Linked DNA regions of Pelodiscus sinensis. The protein of the gene in region 1 interacts with the protein of each later gene in a biochemical or structural test. Links are inferred from orthologs where the notes say so. Each region holds a gene or a part of one and is shown in the gene's direction. Other genes may lie near its edges. The genes, in order: MYO6, TAX1BP1 and DAB2.

The links.
Region 2: the proteins of MYO6 (region 1) and TAX1BP1 form a complex in vitro, tested with the Homo sapiens proteins (5 studies listed by BioGRID, with this or other methods). The link is inferred for Pelodiscus sinensis from reciprocal best matches to the Homo sapiens genes MYO6 and TAX1BP1.
Region 3: the proteins of MYO6 (region 1) and DAB2 form a complex in vitro, tested with the Homo sapiens proteins (7 studies listed by BioGRID). The link is inferred for Pelodiscus sinensis from reciprocal best matches to the Homo sapiens genes MYO6 and DAB2.

Annotation. Positions count from the first base shown.
Region 1 is NC_134713.1:57,955,609-57,963,576, reverse strand, and holds the start of MYO6 (unconventional myosin-VI), read left to right. Parts: upstream 1-4,866; 5' UTR 4,867-5,016; intron 5,017-7,968. UniProt on the Homo sapiens protein: Myosins are actin-based motor molecules with ATPase activity. Unconventional myosins serve in intracellular movements. Myosin 6 is a reverse-direction motor protein that moves towards the minus-end of actin filaments.
Region 2 is NC_134712.1:196,219,441-196,226,748, reverse strand, and holds the start of TAX1BP1 (tax1-binding protein 1), read left to right. Parts: upstream 1-4,247; 5' UTR 4,248-4,386; intron 4,387-7,308. Other genes in the region: HIBADH (3-hydroxyisobutyrate dehydrogenase, mitochondrial), read right to left, coding at 3,966-4,047.
Region 3 is NC_134716.1:103,838,079-103,845,827, forward strand, and holds the start of DAB2 (disabled homolog 2), read left to right. Parts: upstream 1-4,691; 5' UTR 4,692-4,873; intron 4,874-7,749. UniProt on the Homo sapiens protein: Adapter protein that functions as a clathrin-associated sorting protein (CLASP) required for clathrin-mediated endocytosis of selected cargo proteins.

The DNA of each region.
Region 1 (7,968 bases):
TAAGAAACCCAGGCGTCCCCAAGTCAGCTGCTGCTGAAACTGATCAGCGGCTGATTCCAGGAAGCCTGGGGCAGAGCAACTCTGTCTCGGGCTTCCTGTAGTCAGCCGCTGGTCAGTTTCAGCAGCAGCTGACTTGGGGACGCCTGGGGCAGAGCAGCTGGGGTGCTGCTGGGTTGCTCCAGTAGCGCAGCTCCTCCACGCTACTGGAGCAACCCAGCAGCACCCCAGCTGCTCTGCCCCAGGCGTCCCCAAGTCAGCCGCTGCTGAAACTGACCAGCAGCGGCTGAATCAGGACGCCTGGGGCAGAGCAGCTGGGGTGCTGCCCGGTTGGTCCTGAGCGGCACTGCGGGACCAACCTGGCAGCCCCCAGCTGCTCTACCCCAGAGGTAGGCAAGAAAAGCCTGGTCTGCTGGGGGGGGGTGCTAGCCGCACCCCCCGCCCAGCAGACCAGGGAGACGGGGGTGGCGGGACCGCCCAAGTCCTCCACGGCTTTGCTCCGTCTCCCTGGTCTGCTGACCTGGGAGACCCGGAGCAAAGCCGCAGAGCACGCGGGCAGCGAGACAGTCCAGGCGCGCCGTGGCTGTCCCACTGCTGGCGTGCTCCGAGGCTTTGCTCCCCATCTCCCTGGTCTGCTGGTCAGACCAGGGAGACGGGGAGCAAAGACGCGGAGTACGCCCGCAGGGGGACAGCTCAAGTGCGCCCGGGCTGTCCTGCTGCGGGCGTGCTCCGCGGCTTTGCTCCCCGTCTCCCTGGTTTCCAGGGAGACGGGGAGCAAAGCCTTGGAGCACGCCAGCAGTGGGACAGCCGCGGCACGCCCGGGCTGTCCCGCTGCGGGCATGCTCCGTGGCTTTGCTCTCCGTCTCCCTGGTCTGCAGGGAGACGGGGAGCAAAGCCTTGGAGCACGCCAGCAGTGGGACAGCCGCAGCACGCTCCGCGGCTTTGCTCCTGTCCCCCAGGTGTCGGCTTTGCTCAGGTGTCCCTGGTCTGCTGGGGGGGTCCAGCGACTTTGCTGGACCCCCCCAGTAGAGCAGGGAGACCAGGAGAAGCTTTTCTCGCCCCTGGAGAAAAGCCCCGTTCGTAAGTGCGGATCCACGTAAGTCGGGGACTGCCTGTACTGATTTTTGAGGAGCGTATTTGCAACTTTGGCCTCTTGTGAAAAGTTGAATTCTCTATGACTTTTAGGTTTCACAATTACAGCACCAGCACTTCTGATGCTTAGACTTGCCATGAAAATGGAGCAGCCATGGCTGCTATTTATTACTAATATAGTTTCAGGGGGAAAAGTAGAGGTGTGTAGAACCTCTCGTCCTGCCAGTTGAGGCTTCTTCTTTAGAGTATGCACAATATGCCTTAGGTGGCATGATTCATCACTGAATTTGGTCTGTTGGTTGGATCATTAGTTTCCCTGCACCAGGTCGGGTACTGACAGGGAGTGTGATCCATGCTCATCACCACTTCAGTCAAACTGACAATTCAAACTGCAATTACTGCAGTATGGGCAGGCCAATTATGCAGTTGCTGACTGAAACTGGCACTTTACATGCATGTGTGGTGATCAAGAGAACAAAAACTTGTTTAGAACTTGTTTTATTGACAGAGGAAATGTTAGTAAGAACACAGGATTTAGCTCCTGCTGTTTTCCACCCAAGTTGCATGATTAAGCATGCACTTTTAATCATAAATATGTTCATTTCATATTGTCCATAAAGTATCTAGGATAGTGTTGGTCCTATATAAATAAATAATAATGGAACATTTATTTTGGAAAAATCTTAAGTGTGGAGGTTCATTTAAATTCTCACAGGACTACCAGCAGGCATGGCTAAACATCAGCTTTACAAGGCAAAACACAGTTTAAAGACTATCGCTTTGCAATTATTTATTTAATTACTTCACAACATTCTGAGAGCTTTTCAGACATTCAAGATAAGATTGTTCCAACTTGCCAAATGCAAGGACGAAAGATATAGAAATCAGCAGAAGGAGGCAGATTTTTAAATTCAAATTATTTAGATTCACTCTGCAGCACAACAGAAGTGGAGTTTTGAGAGATTTAGGGAGGACAATGTACAGGCTTAAAGCAAAAGCTCAGGCCGGTCATGTTATTGTGGGAGAAGCTGATATATGAGTGGACAGAATTGGGAAGGGTGGTGAAATATAGGGCAAGGAAGCAACGCGAAACTCAGGGAGGGGCAGAATTATATAGGACTTTCAAGGTGGAGAAAAGAAGTTTAAATCTGACACAATAACATATGGGAAGGCAGGGGAGACATTCAAAGAGAAGTGTGACATGGTCACATGGGAAGGCAAAGAAAATGATTTTAGTGGTTACATCTTGTACGATATGGGGCAGTATATATTTTAGGGATTTCAGAAAAATGGGTGTTCTAAGAGTCAAAGTGGAATATATTGACAATCCAAATACGAGATTTGACTGGGCAAGGGAAAGAAAAGGATAGCTCTCAGACATATTAAGGAAGAAGTAGCACTTCAATTACTTCATATATGGAAAGTAGTAAAACAAATCTTACACATTCAAGGAACACAGCCAAGGAGCCCCCAAATTTATTTTTTTAAGCTAATAATTTTAAAAGATTCAGTACAGTCTTTACAAAAGATTAAACAATACTTTAACTGAAATATTTTCAGTCTAAATACTGCAACCCTGTATTAATGTCAGAGCATCAAAGTGAAATAGATTAAAATTGACAGCAAAGTCAAGTGTCTGATAAATTTAAATGACCAAACTGAGTAAAAAGCAAAAGGTAAACAAAGAAATAAATAGCCAACATCAAATGATGTATTTCACTTGTGCAATTTTAATCATTTAAATCGTTGTTTGCATTAGAACAGTATCTAGAGACTGAGATCAGAGGCCTACTGTGTTGGGCATTGTACATACATTCAATCAGGCCTTGTCTACAGAAAAACAAATTGAACTGCTTTAACTATAGTCTACATTGGCAAAGTTAACATGGCACAATATCCCTAGTGTGAATGCAGTTATATTGATAAAAGTGTGCTATAGCGATAATTTAGTCCCATGTCGGAATGGAAATGTATAAACACATTTATACTGGTATAATTACATCCACACAGCAGGGGGAGGACATAGATTAAGAAAACACCCATAAATTGACAGTTATACCCATATAAAAACTGTGTGTAGACCAAACCCTAAGAGACAGTCCTTCCCTGAAGAATTTAAAAAGGCTAAACATAGCCTTTATAAATATAGCTCTTTTATTCCAGAAAAAAGTATCCACATACGCTGTGTCTACATTGGCGCGATTATGCGCCAAAGTGGCCGCTTTTACGCAAAAACATGCTGCCTGTCTACATTGGCGGGGAGTTCTTGTGCAAGAACACTGACGTTCTAATGTGTAAAATCAATGCTTCTTGCACAAGAACTATGATGCTCCTGCTCAGGAATAAGCCCTCTTGCGCAACTCTTCTTGCGCAAGAGGCCAGTGTAGACAGGTAACATGAATTTCTTGAGCAAGAAAGCCCGATGGCTAAAATGGCCATAAGAGTTTTCTTGCGCAAGAGAGCGTCTACGCTGGCACGGATACTTTTGTGCAAAAGCACATCTCTTGCACAAAGGCACGTCAGTGTAGACGCTCTCTTGCGCAAATTCTTTAATGCAATGACTCTTGCGTTAAAGAGTATTTGCACAAGATCATGCCAATGTAGACACAGCCATGGAGTTAATCAGCAATAACTATTGGAATTAGAATTCACACCCTACTTTAATGAAAATTGACTTTCAAGTGTAGACAAGTGCTAAACCCTGCAAAAATGTATGGATGTTCTTAATCTATTTTACTGTGAGTAATGAATTCAAGGGCATTATGCACAATGTGTAAAATTAAGCATTTTAAGACTTTACAGGATGAGGGTCTAAACAGATAAAACCGGAGAAAAGGTGGGGGAGGCAATGTCTCTATTATTTTGGCACCGGCTGCACTACAACAACACTGCAAATTGAAGAAAACAGTGGCCGAGCTCTTATTTTCAGTAGGAAAAAAGGTTACCATTTCTTAGCTAATGTGGTGAAATCCGGGAGTAAGTCTACACTGCAACAGAAAGTGTGATTGTAATTTGTGGAGATGTACATAGACTGGCTCTAATTGAGCTAGCTTGATTAAGGACAGCAGTGAGTCCAAAGCTGCATGGGCTTCAGCGTGGGTGTTTGGTCCTGCCGTCAGGGCAGGGGACTGGACTTGATGACCTCTTGAGGTCCCTTCCAGTTCTAGTGTTCTATGAGCAGTGGACCCTACCCTATGCCCATAGAGCTCAGACTTCACTGGTGTATTATCATTTGAGCCAGCTAAATTTAAGCTGACTTGGGCATGTCTACCCCACATCCTGAGAGGGATGGGGACTTGCTGATCGCCGGCAAAACCCAGCATCCATTTCCACTTCTGTGGCAGATGAGCCTGGGGTCTCCGCACCAGGTAATGTTGCCAGGGGTCTGGTTTTGAACCAGACAGGCCAGTATTTGAGCTTTCTGTTGAGGAAACAAATTGAGAAAACAGAAATGTCCGGTATTTTCTACATCAGATGTAATGTAGATTGGGATGTCATGTCCAGTGTGTCCTGTATTTTGGCAGAAACCATCTGGCAACCCTAGCAGGGTGGGTGCACGTGGCTGGGACACCCCAGGTCACAGAGCAGGCTGAGCCGGGGCTACGGGCCGCACAGGAAGGGTCATTCCCCCCGGCTCTCAGACAGGGCCCAGGGATGGCAGGTAACCAGGCCGGGCCCTGGGCTCCGCGGAACAACAGGCCGGCGGAGGGCAGGCGGGGGAAAGGCCTGGAGCCGCGCGTAAAGCGGCCGCTCTGGTGCCGGGCCCGGGCGGGCCTGGGCCAGCCGGGGACTGGAGCGCCGGGCCGCGCTTCCCCCGCCCCAGCGCTGACGTCTGCGGCGCCTCCTTGGCCGCGGCTCCGGGGCGGGGCTGCAGCAGCGCAGGGGCCGCGGGTGGCGGCATCAGCTGGGGACGCAGCGCGGCTGCAGGTAAGCGGGGCAGCGCGGCGCCGGCTGGGGTAGCCTCCCCTGGGCAGGGGCGGGATCCCCGCCCGGCCCCGGTCCGGCCCCCACCCCCTCGGGCTCCTCTGCCCGCTCAGGCCGCCCCGGCCTGCTGGGGCCCCTGGCACCCACCCCTGCCCTACCCCGGGCGCTGGGGTCCGGCTCCCGCGGGCCGCTCGGTAACTCTGAGCCCCCGCACCTGCAGGGGCGGCAGCTGGGCAGCGCCTGTGCGGGGCGAGACGCCAGGGGCTACCCAGGCAGGCGATTGAAAGCGGCCCGGCGGCGGGGCGTGCTGGGAACAGCCCCGGGACGCTGTAGCCGGACCCGGAGGGCTCGGAAGAGGCTGGGAGGTTCGGGGAACTTTGGGGGTTAGTGGATTATTAGAAAAGTTTCCAAATCAAACCGTGTGTGTGGTGAGAGTCTGTATCCGGAATTGTCTAGGTAGCCGCAACTTAAGTGTCTAGCCACAGCAGCTGTAGGAAAGATACTTATCACCAGACTAACTTAGACAGGACGCTTGCTGTGAATAAAGAGGCAGTGCTTTTCTAGACACAGAACTATGTAGCACTCTTGTTAGATTTTAAAATGCTACATAGGTCTGTCTTTTGTTTTTAGCTAGACCAGACTTACACGGCTGCATCTCTGTCACTTTTCTCGAGAGGCTTTAACATTGGAAGGTTATAGAGGTTAAACGTTAGGAGGAGAATAGCTAATTCTCTGTGCATGTTCGTTACTTGCAGTTGCTCTCACCTGTCCCCCACACCTTTCTTGAACTTAACATACAGTTTACCAATTAATTGGGAAGGAAAAATAGAAGGGCACAACTAGAACCTGAGTGAGTCCCGAGTATTTACAGATCCAGCCTAAACTCCTTCCTACACAGTAGCTGAAAAGTAAAGGCCTGATGCAGGTGCTTCTAAATGTATTGGAAGAGTTAAACAGTTGAAACGGAGAGCTCAGGGCTTCATCTGGGAGAAAGTAGGCTTTTATGAGCAGGGTGATTTTTTTTTTCTTATTACAGTGAAAACTTTCTTATCCTGCATACATACAGATAAGGTGTTTTTTGTACTCAGTGAAAATGTCATTTTGATACTCACAAATTCCTTCTTGTGGTTTTTTCTATCAGTCTTATTTTTATCTGACAGTTGTTGCTAAGGAAAATGCTAAAATTACATTGGGTTTGTTGAACTATTGTAGTCTCTATTTCAAAAGCCTAAATATTTCTGTGTGGATTTGTCCTCCTGGACAAGTGAAGTTTTATATCAGCTGGTCTAAGAACATAAGGATTCAGGACTGCAAAAGAACATGCTTTCTATTGAAGCTTTTTATCAAGTTTGATAAATTTGTTGCTCCAAAATAATTTCCACTCCCAAAAAGTTTTGTTTCTCCACCTAAACTTTTTTCTGCTTGAAAATTAAACAAAAATGTTCTTTGACTGGACAGTTCATCAACCATTACTTGGATTACAATGCACATTGTATCCGATGTATTGTAGATGCTTACACATGCTTGACAGATGGATTCTTTAATAAATCCTTATACTACCGGATCCTTGTAAAAACTTGAAATGGCTAAATTAATAGACAAAATAAAAGAATGTTTGTTACATATTTTTTTAGGTAACTTCTATTGATAGACTATACCAATCCACGTATTTTTGACAAGGGTGAGAGTAAGTATATGTCATCATTTAAAATAAGTGTCTTACTCATGCAGGGTAAAGAACTTTCTTTGGAGTGAGCTAATAATTCTTGACAATTCAGTTGACTTTATTAGCCATAAAATGGCTTATGAACTTATTCTTCAGGGAGCAGAGTACAAAGGTTAAGAATTGAGTCAAGTTTTTCTTTATTGCAAACATGACGAATTAACAGTGCGTAAAGAGAAAATTTCAGGTTAAATTCTTGCTATGGTTTAGTTTTTCAGAAGGAAATAAAGTGGGTTTTTATAAAAAATAATATAAATGTTTCCATGATTTTCTTTAAAGCTTCCACTGGATATTTTCAATCAATTTTGTTCCTGTAGTGTTCGATGTTCAAACTGGGCCTATGCATAAGATCCAGAAAGAGAATGTGACTGTAAACAAAAGTGAAACTAATTGATTTAATTTCATTGTCCAAGTTGAGACAATAAACACAATACAGGTATCAATAATGAAAGTAAATGCAATGTCTGTAATGTCAAACTGCAGCCTTATGAATTGTTTTGTAGTGATGTAATTTTACACCTCAGTTAAAATTTGTATATTAAGAGTAACAGTTGAAGCAAACACTTTGAATACCTATTCAACTACAATAGTGATAGAAATGTAGCTGTGTTCAACTACAAAGCGCTGTGTTCCATATGTCCCTCTACTATATTGTGAAGCAGTCTGGTGTATTGCTTCCTCCCCATTCTATGTCATGCAGCGGCGCACTTGTGATTTTAAACTAGCAAAGACCAGGAAGGGTCAGAAATAAGACTAAGATGCTTGCTCATCATGTTTCCCTATGTACTGCAGTGTGTATTGTATGGGTTATTGCCCACTGATTGAAGAGCAACAATATTTGACCACAGAGTGGCAGTTTCTGGCTTGATATATTTGTAAAGGCATTTGCATTCTGTAGTGTGCTAAATTTTAAAAATCAAGATGGAAAGATTAAAAAACCATAACAACTTCAAATGGCCAACTTGAAATAATACATATTTGTACTTTAAAAATTGATGTATAGCTTGAATAAGTTTGTATAGTATATTGAATTATGGTAGTTTTGTGCTTGCATGTCTGTTACTTTAAATGCTACATTTGTTTGTGACAGCTTGTAGTACAGGCAGCCCCCGGGTTACATGGATCCGACTTACATCGGATCCCTACTTACAAACGGGGTGAGGCAACCCCGCACTAGCTGCTTCCCCCCAGCAGAGACCAGGGAGACGCGAAGCTAGTGCCCCCCCCCCCTC
Region 2 (7,308 bases), on another chromosome or scaffold:
CACTGCAGAGGACAGTAGGTATGACTCCAATTTGCAGAGAATAGTTGTAATAATAAGAGGAATTACTGCTCTAAGGAGAAATACAAAAGTTATGATAAGCCCCAGCTACCAACGTGTTCACTACTGCTGGATTATATCACAGCACCTTGGCACTTCCCCTCCCCTGCCATCCTACTGCATGGAGTTCAAAGTGGTGACTGGGAATTTAAATCATCCATTAAACGCTGTGAATGGTATTGTTACTATAAAGTAACCAATGTTTTCTTTTTAGTAGTAAGGGCTTATAATTTGCCAATCTATGGAGCCACCTGGAAACAGTGCACTCCAGGAGTTTCTATTTCCAAAACTAGCACAATTCAGTTGACACAGCTCATGAAGTTTGGAGATCACAAAATCATTTCTCCCAAGTATGAGTGAGGTGTCAGTTTTTGCACATAATGTGTTGCATGTTCAGAGAGGAGGAATGTGGTAGAGTCCTGCATGTTTGCATGCAGCAATAACAGGAGAATCAATGAATGAGCTAAGATAGCATCTTGTTGCTTCCCTCAGGAATTCTGACCAAATTTTGGTAGCTGATAGCTGAAAACTTTTCCTTAAAGAAAGAACTCCAGATAGCCTAATAGAGAAAAGAACGTGTTTTTCAGGGTCTCCTTTATAGCACACTACTCAGAAATGTGCTGTTTTTTCACAATTCCTTTGAATAATTCTGCCAAACACATCGCAGCTTGAAATAACATCTCCCTTTGCCAACAGGGCCCCACAACAATTTTAATAGCCTTCAGAACATGAAAGGCCTGAAATGATAGCAAAAAGCTTTTTACAGCAAGGGCATTATCTGCATCAACTGGGAAGAAAAGGTTTTTATAATTTTAATTTTAACATTGTCTCTGTACTTCCGTAACTGCAGTTAACAAGGTTGTGCCCAGAGGAAATATGTCAACTGATGCAGCCTTTCATAAAGTATGAGGGTTCAGTTTAGAAATGAAACATTTTAGGACCTTGAAATTTCACAAGAATGAATTCTGTGCTTCTGACTGAGCTACTTTATCCTGTAGTGAGCTGTATGAAGAAGTGGGCTGTGCCCACAAAAGCTCATGATGCCATCTAACAAAACATGTAGTCTATAAAGTGCTACCAGACCATTTGCTGTTTTTTAAGTTTATCCTGTACATACTAACTCGGCTATCCCCTGAAGCTACTTTATACAATAACCTTCTATTTCTTGTCCTATTTCAGGCCTTCCCACCCTCTATTGCCTGTTCAACCATAATAGACAGTGACTTAGGTAAGGCAATACCGACGATTTCATGGTCGCTGGATTTTTAAAAAAGGTAACTTTATTTATTTAAGCTATTTAAAGGTGAAATCTCATAGCGTTGTAATTGTGGGGGTCCTGACCCAAAAAGGAGATGTGCAGTGGTCGCAAGGTTATCATGTGTGTGTGTGCATGCGCACAGGGGGCAGAGAGGGTGTTGCAGTACAGATACCTTTACTTCTCCACTACTGCTGGCAGTGGTGCTGTCTTCAGATCTCAGGAGCCAGAGATCTATGGCTGCTGAAGGCAGCATTGCCACCAGCAATAGCACAGAAATAAGAATGGCATGGTATTCTATTGCCACCCTAACTACTGTGCTTCTGCTTGGAGAACTGGCCCTCAGTCATCAGCCACCACTCTCCAGCTGCTCAGCTCTGACGGCATAACAGAAGTAAGGGTGGCAATACCACAAACCTCCCCAAATAAACTTGTAATTCCCCCTGCTACTCTCTTTAGAAATCAGGTCCCCAATTTGGGAAACACCTGTGAAATCTGATTCCCCGTGAAATCTATATAGTATGCATAACACACACAAGATCAGATTTTTTTTTCGGGGGTGGGGGGGGGGGAAGAAGGGGAGGAACCAGATTTCACAGTCTTTGGTGCATTTTTCATGGTCATGAATTTGGTACGGTAGAGCACGGGTGCTAGGGATGTGAAAGGTTGGTTGTTTAGGCAGTAGGCACCACACTAAACAGGTGATGCTTACCCGGTCTGGTTAACTGGTTATTGGTGGGGACTTGAGCAGCCCCCCCGCCTGCCATGTGCGGGGGAGGGAGTAGGTCCAGTGCTTCAGAGGACCTGCTGCAGGTAGGCACTACTCCCGCATCCTGGGCGCCCTATAGGCAGGGTCTGCTTCTGTGGAGCAGCCTCTGTCCGTGAGAAGCCTCTGTGGACAGAGGTTGCTCCAGTGGGGGCTGGAAGCCAGCAGCAGTCCCAGCTCCCATGTGGGGTTGGGAGCTAGCAGCCATCCCCAGTGTAGGGATGGGAGCTGCACAAGCAGGGACTGCCCCAGTTCAGATCTTGCATAGTCTGTTAACCCATTAAATGTTTAACCTAATGTTTAACTGATAAACTGGGATGTTACATCCCTAGATCCTGGGACTCTGATTCTTCTCCCTTGAGGGAGGGGAGAGCATTGGGAGCTTATCTCATCTCTGTGGGATCTGGGATATCTAGCTTTGCTGGGTGGGCACAGATCGGGTAATGGGGTGAATCAGGCCCGAGCAGGTCTGTGGGATGGGCCCCCCCAGCATGGGGTGTCCCTGCACAGTTGGGCTGCTCTGTTCTTTCTGTGTGGAGGCTGGGGGCAAAGGGAGGGAAGAGGGAGCAGGCAGGATGCAGAGTGACATGATGATGTCACTATCATCCCACAGGAAAAAAATATGTATATGTACACATACACACACACACAGAAAATTAAGAGAGTGAGACATTTGTTTTTATTGATCTAAAAAAATAAAATTATGAAGGGCCTTTTAAGCTTAAAATTTTACTTAAAAATAATATAGTAGTTTCAGTACACCTTTTGCTGAGCCTCCTGGCATATTTTGTGGTTCTAAAGTCACATTCCCCCTTTTTAAAAATACACTTATATTTTCCATATACTACAGTATGTGAAAGACCCCCAATAAGCACAGGGAAAACTAACTGAACACAAGGGAAACAGAAAAAGGTGTCAAATGCAGAAAATAAACAAATCTAAAATAACCACAGAAAGATTCTGCCATTTATTTCACTTATAACAATCTTAGCTGTTATTACATACTATAGAACAATTTCAAACCAAAATATGGACCTTAAATCACCAGAGTCCTTTTAAAAGCAAAGGCAGGAGACAAGGGAAACGTTATACTAATCCTGCATATACACTTGTTTTACTTCACACTCAGCTGAACTCCTCCTGTCTGTAAACTGAAGTATGGACATAAATGTGTGTAATATAAAGGCCTTGAATATTTAAAAAGTGCTTCTGGGTTCAGCTTTGGCTCAAAAATAATGAAATATAATCAGAGAGAAAGCAAACAAGTATGAGTACCGATTACAGATATGAAGAACATGTTTTAACTCACTAGCTTCACATAAACTTCTGTGGGCTGTTTTAAAATCTACATATGCTATTTTAAATAAACATGTAAAATATTTATTACACTAAGCTACTCATAACATTAAGTATTGATATAAGCCTCATATAATTTTACAACCTGTATGGCTTTAATAGAGTGCACAACACTTGTAAAAGGTGCAAAACACAGGTGATAATCCTCGCGTGCTAGAAAACACATTTATCAGGGCTTTCAAAACCTCAATGCATGTTTCATCTGAGGAATTAGACGCTTGTCAGGGGTGGGGAAATAGTCCTCCAAGCACACTGATGCACTCGTTAAATCCGGCGTGCAACTCCCGTGCGCCTCCAACTACCACCCACCCCACAGCCCCTGCTTTCCCGTGATAAGAAGTTGTGGGGCAGAGCTGTCACTTGACTGACCCACATGCCATTTTAGCGAGGGGGTAGGAAGCAGCACCCCACGGGCGGGTTCAGGACGGAGGCCCGGCCTTTGGACACAACGGGACCACGCTCTGCAACCCCAGCTCGCCCTGCGAAAATGTCACCCCGCATCCCCAGGCAGAGGGCGAGGCGGGTGCTTACCCATTGCCGTGCCGGCAGCATGCACCTTCCAGTGCGCGTGCAGGAGCCTGGCAGAGCCTCTGAGCAGTAACACCGCTGCCATGCCGCCTCCACTCAACGTGACCTCCACTCAAACACCGCCCCCGCCTGGCCCTCTCTGCCTGTGACCGTGGACGGGGCGGGGGAAGAAGACGAGTGGCAGCCAGCGTAGCCAACCACAGCGTGGCCTTGGCAGCCGCACACCAATGAGAGGGGCCATCTTCCTGCCAGTGACCTGCCGGGTTCGCCTCCAACCCCATGACAGACAAGGCAGCTGTGCCTGCTCCACCGCCCACGGATGGGCGGGTCTGGGGGGGTGGTGCCCGCTCGTGAGCAAGCGGGACTGGGCCAAGGTGAGGCTCCCTGCACCTCTTGCAGCCGGCGCCTTCGCTTACTCCCCTAGGTGAGTGGGGTAGCCCTGTGTCCCTGCCAGTATTTTCATTGCCCAGTGGGGTGCCCCCTCCCGCCCCGTCCTTCTGGCAGAAGCAGCATTTTTGTACAAATATTGGTGGTGCCTAGAGCCCCTACCTCACTCAAGCCCCCACCTGCCTAAGGCTCTGGGAGGCCGTTTGGGTGGGGAAGGGGTACAGGCTCTGGGAGGGAATTAGGGTGCAGGAGGAATTCAGGGGTGCAAGCTCCGGGATGGAGTCTGGGTGCTGCTTCTGGCCTGGTGCAGGGGGTGGGGTTCCTGGGTCTGGGAGGGAGTTTTGGGGGAAAGCAGGCAGGGGGAAAGAGTGTAGGGGCTAGAAGGAGTGGGGCACACGAGGGAGTGGGAGGAGGGGTTAGGGGATACCATGCTTCTGCGAGGGACCCATCCTCTGGCAATGGCTCCTGGAAGAAGTAGGGATCTCGAGGTGCTGCTGCCCCAGCTCTCAGCTGCTGGAAAAGCACATGGCATGGAAACACTGGGGGATGGACAGAGCCTGTGGGGCAGCAAGATGCCAGGAGATGCAGGGCATGGCAGGCAGTGACAGTGAATTTGGCGGACCCCAGACCCGGGCCAGGAATATTCCTGGTGCCAGAGTATCACAGGCACGTATACTGTAACTCACTGCCTTTGCCCTCTTGGTGGACCTTCCTTCACCCTGCAGGAACAAATTGCTCTTATTTACCTTTTTCCGATCAAGCTACCTTCTGTACTTAGGAGAGGATCAGAGTAGTTGCATAACTCCAGCCAGTGATTAATCAGAGAGTCTATGCTTTCTCCAGGCAGCATCGCATTAGGGTTACGCACTCAGGTTTTTCCCTGCCCTTCTTCTCTCTTGCTGTGGCAGCTTTTAGCTTGAATATTCCCCTTCAAGAAAATGCTTTAGACTGTTTGGTGTCTAAAATAAACACTTGAAATGTTATCCTGCTTCTCTAAATGCCACCCTAATATAGCCCTATAATTCACCCCTCTCCTAGTATTTTCATGTATTTTAACATATCAGTTATTTTTTCAAGTATTCTTGGACATAAAATCTTACATATTACATAGCCCACATTGTTTTTTTTCCCTTTTAGCTGGTGGGGTCATGTAGCATAATTATAATTAATATGAAGGACTAGATCTTATATGTACAGATAAATAGTCCCTTTTCTCATGTTTTGTTCTTACTGTTGAACTTTAAAATATTTTGTTTTGAAAAGGCTGTTCTGTTGTTGTTTTTACAACTGGTGACCACACCTGAGGGGAAGAGTTTCATATTGCCTAGCTAGACCTGCTGAGGAATCACAATTGGCACACAGGGTACTGTTGCCCAGGGACTGGTTCTAAGAATGGGAGAATCATGGGAGTCTGTTTTCATCCCAGGGTAGGTAAAGGGATGAGGTGTATAAGAGCTAAAGCCTGAGAGGGGTGTACTTGGAAAGGGCAGAAAGAAGTCAAAGGTGTAGCCAGGCCAGTGAACTGTGACTTTTCCTTTTACTTCTTCATTTTATTTCATATTGTGTTCCACATATAGGCCTCTGCAGATGGAGAGATGTAATTTTCCACTTGTCATAGTCAATATAGATAATATTGTTTAAAATGTAATTTAATTGAGTAGAAATCCATCAGAAGGCAGAATTAGTAGATCCATTAATGAAGTGTATAAAACAGCTGATAAAAATCTTTTCCTACATTGGTTCCCTGTAGTAATCAGAGGCCCCCTTCATCAGTCACATTACATCAGGGTGGGCAAGATACGGCCCATGGGCTGGATTCAGCCCACCAAGCTGTTTCATCTGGCCTGCAGCCCACCCTGCCATGCCCCCACCCCCCAGGCCAGTCAAGACCCTTCCCCTGTTGGGGCACATGGCACCAGAGGGAACTGCCAGTTCAAAATGGCTAGCAGTTCCCTCTGTGTGCTGCATGCCCTTAGCACAGTGGGGGGGAGGGGCGGGGTGGGAGAAGACCTCCTGTGCTTCCCTGCCCCATGGAGGGGGGGCATGCAAAGTCTCCTTCCTCTCCTCACCCTCCTCCCCCACATGGTGCTTAGAGGGAGCTGTCCCTTCCAGCTGAGGTCCCACACTTTCCGGGACTGGCTCATGACCACTAACAACATTGGTGAAGTGTTCCTCCCTACAAAAATGATTGCCCACCCCTGCATTATACAGTATAGGAACTAAGGGTCATTTGGCAATAAAGTTAAAGCTTTAATAAACTCAGTGGTTTTCAAACTTTTTTTTCTGGGGACCCAATTGAAGAAAATTGTTGATGCCTGAGACCCAGCGGAGCTGGGGATAAGGGATTTGGGGGTACAAGAAAGGGTTTAGGGCTTGGGTGAGGGCTGTCAAGCGGGACTGGGGATGAGGGGTTCATGGTGCAGGAGGGTCTCTGGGCTGGGATAGGAGGTTGGGTGCAGGATGGGGTTAGGGCTGGTGATGCAGGCTATGAGATGGAGTCGTGGATGAGGGATATAGAGTGGAGGAGATTATGGGTTGGGGGGGTCAGGGCTGGGGCAGGGGATTGGGGCACAGGGTTGGGTAATGGGCTTACCTCCCATAGCCTTTAGTTAGCAGAGGTTCAAAGGCAGGCTTCCTGCTTATCTTGGCACCATTGACCATACAGTGCCCCAGAAGCAGCCAGCAACAGGTCCAGCTCCTAGGTGGAGGCATGCAAGCAGCTACGCACAACTCTTACCTGCAGGCACTGGCCTGCCCCAGCTCCTATTGGCTGGTTTCTAGTCAATTTCAGTGTAGGGACAGCATGGGGAGCCCTGTGGCCTTACTGCCTAAGAGCTGGACCTGCTGCTGGCCACTTCTGGGATGCTGCATGATGTCAGAACAGGTAGGGATTGCCCAAGGCAGTGGTTCCCAACCACTGATCCATGGACCGATGGCGGGCTGTGAATCCCTGACTACC
Region 3 (7,749 bases), on another chromosome or scaffold:
CCGGGCGCCACCATTTTTAAATGTCTGCTAGTGCGGACTCCGTGCAGAGGAGGAGGAGGAAGACTGATATCAGGGACAGGAGGAGGAGGACGACACGGCCACTGTGACGCTGTCCCTGGAGCTGATTGCTGTGAGTCTGGACGTGTCACAGGCATCATCTGACGCTGGGGAAGGATCTTCAGGTGAGTGCTCTCAGTTTGTCTCACACACACAGAGAGGGGGAGGCGGGCGCAGAGGCAAGCGTTGCTTGGCCTGGATATTGTGCTGCAGTCCATGAACATGGAACCGCATGCAGCATTATTGTGCATCACACGGACACAGCCGGCAGCCCCTGAGCCCACCCAAGCTCCTCCTCCCAGGCTCAGGGGAGGCCACACACACGTCTGGCCCTGGAGGGGGGAGCCCTCTTACCACCTGCCATGGCTGGAAGCAGGCTAGCCACAAGGGTGCTGGGACCACCCCATACACCAAGGAGTGCTGTACACAGCACATGGGCATGCCTGCATGTGCAAGGCACCACCCGCTCCAGCAGACAGCGCTGCAAGGTACAGATGTGTGTGTGGGCCCCCGGGAGGGCCAGGCCGCTCCAGGCTTCTCTGCCGCCCATGGGATCCCACTGTGGCCAGACACTTCCCTTGCCTGCTTGTCCATGGAGGAGGGGGAGAAGCAGGCAGCATGGTTCCCTGGGCACTGTGGGGCACCTGTAAGGCAGGGCCTGCTTGGTCCCGGGACATCCCCCATCCTCTGGCCCGAGGACTGTTGGTCGCTGCTCACAGAGGAGGGCACGGCCTCAGAGACAATGTCTGCAGGGATGACTGACTGCCTCTCCCTCTTTTTATTTTCCACAGCCAAACCAGCCGGGACTGAGGGGTGAACCACGCCACCCGAGCCAGCCACCCAACCCCAGGGGACCTGAAAATGCTCCAGGGTCCAGGAAGAGCTGATGAGGCAGCATGTGGGCATCTGTGCGACATGCAGCAGACCCTGGCGCAGTAGGTCCCCTCCCACTATGCCTCAGCTAGACTTCGGCACCAGCACTCGGAAACAATTGGTGACCTAAAGTCCTGGCTGAACTGGTTCCAGATAGTGAGATAGCGTCCAATCAGTGTGGACGCTATCTTTAGCAGTGTGGATGCTCTCTTTCAGAAGAATTTTCAGAAGATCTCTTCTGGAAAACCTTCTTCTGAAAGAAGCTTGCAGTCTAGATGTAGTCTCACTCCTGTGAGCGCACTCCTATTTGCATCAATAGGTTTTCTACCCATCCAATGTAAATGAGAGCAGAATTTGGCTCGAATCTGGAAACCACAAATCCAGCCTAGGCCACTAGCAGCATTGCTTTCTGTGGGTGGTTTAAGGTGGAATTGAATCTTGCCCAATTTTAAAAGGAACTGACGAACTACATCACCTTTATCACTAGCTAGCTAGTAGACCCAGAATCAAATGATTCTAGATGTAATACTTATACAGGTCAGATTTGAAATTTACTGATGGGCTTGTGTTAGTATACATTAAGATGCTGCTAGATCTATTTGGAAGACAGATGACTTCATTCTTCAAGAGTTTCTATCCAGAATTTTTCACCAGCATTGAAATAGCCTGAGAGAAAAACAAAGCAATTTTAAATTTAATAGGATGCTGATTGTTTCAAACATAAAACTGACATTTTATCTTTAACTAACTAAATTTATATTTAAAAAAAGAGCCAGCAGGCCAAATCCACATGAGGAATGATGCTGAGCAGTCCAGAGGTTCAAATACAAATTCTTCCTCTATATTCCTAGTGACATACTTTGCCATCTCTCAATTTACATCAATGAAGTTTCCACTGAAAGGCGCCTCTTCAGCCAGATTTTTTCTGATTCCTATTCCATTGTTCAACTAAGTGAAAATGCTATCGTGATAATTAACTACAGTATCTGATTAATAATTTCATTCCTTTCAATGGCCAGGACATTGCAGGGAGATATAAGGAATTTGCTGATTCTGTAAAGCTCAACCTTTTACTGCCTAGCTGTAACATCTGTAGTGGAGAAGTGAGGAATCCAGGAGCAGATAGTTTACCTTATGGCAAATTCCAACGTGCTATTTAAAGTTCAAATGAAATTCCAGCACTCAAAGTAGGAGGTTTTCTTAAAAAAAAAAAAAAAAAAAAAAGTCCCAAATCTGTGAGTGAAAAGTTTAATTATGGACAAGATGACACACATAGTAAAGCCCAGAAAGGCAGCAACACCGCTGTGGAAGCACATTCCAATAAAATCTTAAAAGATTATTTTTATAATAAACTATGCATTCTTGAGCAAGCCACTGCGGGATTAGCTAACACTTTGCCTTGCTATAAGCAGGTTTTTTGCAAACTGTTACTGACACCATTTTCAAAGCATTCATGTTTCCAAAGCTTACACTGGTGACTTGAAAAGGAATCTACTTTTCAGTGTTTTTATTTAATCCTGCTTCCCTCTCTCCCATATAAACTGAAATCCCAATGAGTAGAACAGGCTGTGGCTTAGACAAAGTTAGCATCCAGAAAAGCAATGGAAAAACTAGCAGTGGTGAGACTTTCCAGCTGTAACTACAAGATAATTTTAGACCTACTGAAAAATATTTGCATCTGTGAGGCACCTAGACTGATACTGTTCTGTAAAACAAAAAGTTAATTAAAAAAACCAGCACTTTGGGCAGGGCATTGAAGCTATGCCAATAGCAGAGACATTTAACACAATAAATATTTAAAAAATCACCATCCTGCAAAATTCAGCACTCCCTCTTCTGGAAATACTTGAATAGTTGGGTTTAACATTGCAATTGGTATTGTCAAATTCATCTGTTTTTACAAATCCACTTTGAAATACGATTTTTTTTTATAAAATATGAAATATGAAGATTGCCATAAAAATCCCATAGTGCATATAGATGAAATAGTTGTATTTCAGTCAGAGTTGCTGCCAGATTCCTCCTCTACATAAAAATACTTCCATTAGATATGTTTAATATAACATTCCAAAATTCTAGCTTTTAACGCAAAAGTATGAAACATCAGGGGGTTCATTTTGAGCCATATGAAAAAAAAAGATAATACACTAGGTTAAGAAATTTTTTATTCTTTGAAGTCAGCTTCAGGTTCCCCCCTTCTCCCCTCAGTTAGCCATAACAGTGTTATCATTAGATTATTAGACACCATGCTTGCCAGTTAAAAACTAAACATCTTGTGGCATTTCTACATTAAACCCTATGGTGCAGTACTTCTGATAAAACATCAGCTATGTAGTGGGGTCTCTTTTGGTACTATAATAAATAGTGTATATGTACTTCACAACTACATTGTGGGGGGAAAGAGGACTGTGTTGTGGGTTGCATCCTGCAAAGACATAAATTCTAATCCTGTAAGTGTGGTGAGCTACTTTATGAAAGTGAATCCTAAGTGTCTCCTTATTTATTAGGAAGAAAACCTACCTCAAAGTGCCTCTATTATGTGGATCAGTTACCTACTTTTTCTACAGTATTTTGAACAAGTTATTATTGTTAGTATTTAAAATACAGATTGCAGAGGGACACAAAAGCCCAGATCCTGATTTTGATTAGAGCCCCTTAGAGTTAGGTGCTGAACAAATAAACATGACTAATCTCAGATGTAATCATGTAAAAGATCATCAAGGTCCCAATCCTGCAAACATTTTCACATACAGGCATAACAAGAAGCATGTCATTTGTAGCAAGGGACTGGATGCACTTAAGTGTCTGCCAGGCTGGGATATAAAGGATTTTTTCCCTTCAGGGGAGAATGTGCTTCTGAAGTGAAGGACTGAAAGCACCACTTAGAATCAAGGGCAGTGCAGGCACAGCTGTGTTAATGCACCTCTGTCATCACCCGATATCTAGCACCCTTGTTATTCTAGGCATGGGCCAATTCTCAGCAGTCTGTCACTTACCGTGGTGGTTTTGTATGCAGGGTTAGGTGGAGAGCATAAATTATAGAGCATGTTATTTTAATCTGTTTTAAAACACCCCTCGACACACAACACAGCGATGTTCAGTAATGTAGTAAGAGGCACTGCATGGCCTTGTAAAACACACCTTCCTCAAGTAAAATTTCCTAATCTACATTGTAATTGGGTGCGGGAGGGGAGGGATGACAGGTTCCAATAATGGAAGACAAAAAGAGAATAGATGTTTCGAGTAAAGATCCTTATAAAGATCTCTGAGTAAAGAGCTGGATACAATCTACCAGCAACCCAAAAACTGAAAATGCTTTGACCCAGGATTCTGGTTCAGCCAGTTAGAAAATACCAACATTCATATCCACATCGAGATTTTTACATAAAACAAATCAATGTAAACATATACACACTGGGACCAGCCTTTGGATCCCCTCTCCATTGCCAGATCCTTGAAATGTTTTCTATACACATATTACACATATTGTGAGCTACAGACCTTCAGTCCCCCGCCCCCCATTCCTTGTGAATTCCCTCTGATTTTTGTACGACACATATCTAATTTAAGAAACCTCTGACTTTCCTGTCGTGGGTTTAAAAATCTCCCCTTTCGTGTCATTCTCTCCTCTCTCTCCTGTAGGGCTCATTATTGCATAAGAGCGCAGCAGCTCTGATTCCCTTCAGCCCTGGCGTGCAAAGGGTTAAGTTTGGAAGCACCGACACGTTGAGGGGGAGTAGCCAAGCCCAAACAGCAAAATCATCACAGCACATTCCTGGGTAGTCCTCAGCTGCCAGCATCTGATTAAAACCATATCTCTCGCTGTGAGTGGCTAGCTCAGCTGAAGGCTGGAATACAACTGAATATTTAGCCGGGCCCACGGTGTCAGCTAGTCTGCCGGCTGCCGCCCGAGGATTACGCAGGAGTAGCTCGGAGCTAGTCTGTAAGTAGTTTTTTCCAAGAGGGAGGTGGATTTTCCTCCGATTTTTTTTTTTTTAAATGGAGGGGAGCAAAGTAGAGGGGGGGAGCTTATTGTAACGTTTCCTGGGGTCTGTAGGGCAGGGTGACTCTGGCGCAGGCTGCGTTCAGACGCATTTCTTCAGTCAGCAACCCCCAGCCGGTTCTCGATTGTGAAATTTAGTCGTTCCCTGGGGTTGCTTTGATTCCTGCCTCTGAGCCGGACGCTGCAGCCTTCTCTTCGGCGACCCGTCTTCTCAATGTCTGGGGAGTGTTCTGGGAGGGTTCTACCCCCCCCCCCCCCGGCCTCACTAGCGTCTTCTGCGAGACTCTGCCCCGCTTCGGAGGGGGCTAAGGTGGCCCGGGGAAGGCGACCTCTGCGAACGTGAGCAGACTAATCGCCTACCAGCTGGTATTCGTTTGTGCTTTTAGGAAAAAGCCGCTGGTGTCGAGTACCACGATAACTCTTCCAGGGCGGCTAATTGACACGAGCTCGTGGGGTGGGTGGTATTGTGGCAACACGCCGAAGTAAAAGGCTCTGCCGAAGGCAGACGCCCCAGGGGGTGCTAAATCCCTTAAAGCGTGAAGCTCCCAATTTTGGAAGTGCTAGGGTGGGAGAGACTGAATGGGTTAAATCTCTGGAGCCAGCTGTGACTGTAACGGCTTTCATAGCCCAGGACTAGTGTCCCATAGATATGGGGGAGGGAATAGTAATGCTAGTCAGTAGCATGACACTACTCATAAAATGTTCTAGCTTAAAATTGGGTGGAAACGTCTGCATCCTGCCTCCAGGAGCCTGAAAAGGCCTCTTGACTAAAGAAGCCAAGAACTCAAAGCTAAACAAACAAGCACTTTCTATGGAAAGGCGGGGATGAAGACAAGCAGATTATTTACATTGCTATATAGATAGTAAACCCCTTCTGTTGCTCTAGAAATAGTTTCTCTGAGAATCTAGTCACTCATTGTTAATAGTGTGTGGAGGGAGGAAAGGCCTAAGAAGCATTTTGGCCAGAGCAGTTTGTCTGTTGGCTTTCTAATGTGTTTGCAACTGGGGCAAATAGGTGACACTCAGGAGTGATGGGAGGTGGGGAAGGAAGCCTACAGGCAAAAGTGAGAGGTGGTGTAGTAAAAAAGCTCTGCCTAGTGAAAGGGAGCTCCTCTTTTCAACCTGGAGGTTGGTTGCAGGAGAAATAGATGTCTCAGTGGTCAGATCATCATGGTGACACTCAAGTAGGGTCTTATCAGTGTTCAAGGTTGTGTCCTAAATCTATTTGCTCACAGTAGAATTTACTAGGCAGCTTGGGGTAAACTTTCTCCAATGCACAACACATTTTTAGAGTTAAAAAACCCAGCAGTGTACTCAATTAGCTAAACAAGCTAGGAAACAACTTGTCATCCAGTGAAAGGGTGGCCAATCAAGAGAAATACCTTTCTAAGGGCACAATGACCCTTGGGAGGAGGCTACACACTAAACCTTAAAGCTATGAATCTTGATCCCCTTCATTGCTGGTGGCTTCCACAGGTAACTAGGTATGGAAAAGTGGTCTCAGCACAGAAAACACCTGAGACTGATGCACTGAAGAAGCTTGAATCAAGATGAATAAGAATTTGTGCAAACCCCTGAAATGCTAAGTTGCATCTAGTGAGAGATTGTCTCTTATTTAGGCATGTGCTCATCTGCCCACACTTTAGGGGTGGGCAGAGACACAGTAGAAGGAATATTTTCCTTCTACACTTTTTTATTGAAAAGAAAAACCTTAAAGGTACCTGTGCCATCATTCTGATGGGTACTAGTACATGTGTCTACTAACCCTAAGAAATGCACATTCTGGGATGGTAAACCTACCTTTCAGCTCTTAGGTGTTATTTCTGCTGTTCCTCATTGTTAGGAGGGGAAAATAGCTTATTCATTCACAGAAGCTAAAGGTCTGATTTCAGACTTGGTTCTGGAGGAAACTTTTAATCATTGGCCTAGGAGCAGGGAAGGGGATTGGAAGGAATGTAATCAGATTTCTTAGAACTGATCCTCAAAATAGTTCCAAGGGCAGTAACTGATTTCACAATTAGGGAGAATCCCCTAATAAAGTGATACTACATCTCAAAGCATGTGGGGGTTGAATGTGTAGAGCAGCTCCTACTGCTCTGCAAAACCAAAATGGCTCTTGACCTTTGTATGTACTTCTGAAATGGCAAAATTGCTTAAGTTTGGGTTTTAAGCATGATTGATATTCCTAACTTTGAAATGGAACCAACATAAACAGTAAAATGGAGAGCTCCCAAAGGTGTTTACGCTATAGATAGGTGAGCCACAGAAACAAAAGCCTTAATTGACTGAGGCATTTACTCCAACCTCTTCAAGTCTCTAGGGGTAGATCTACAGAACAGGGCTCAACTCGAACTAAGCTATGTAACTTGAGCTACACAGTTAGCATCTCTCGTCAAAATAGCTTATTTCAAATTTGGGTACAACTACACAGTACCTCAAAATAGAGCACTTTCCTCTGACTTCCCTTCCTCCTCAGAATGGGATTTACAGAAGTTGGAGTAAGAAGCCTGTTATTTCAAAATAATAGGCTTGCTGTGTAGGTGTGCAATATGTTATTTCAGAAGGATATCCATTATTCTGACATAATACTGTTGTGTAGAACCGGGCTACTCAAGACACAGCCTGTGGGCTGCATGTGGCCCATGGGCCATTTGTTTGTGGCCTGCTATGCAGCTTGGGTTTATACAGGGCTCAACACACGGCCTGCAGGTGAGATCCTGTGAACATGCTCCCCAGCAGTGAGCCAATAGAATAGACTTCAATTGATGTGCATTTTAGTAGTTAAACTCCTGCACTGTCATTGCTCTTTAGAAGTG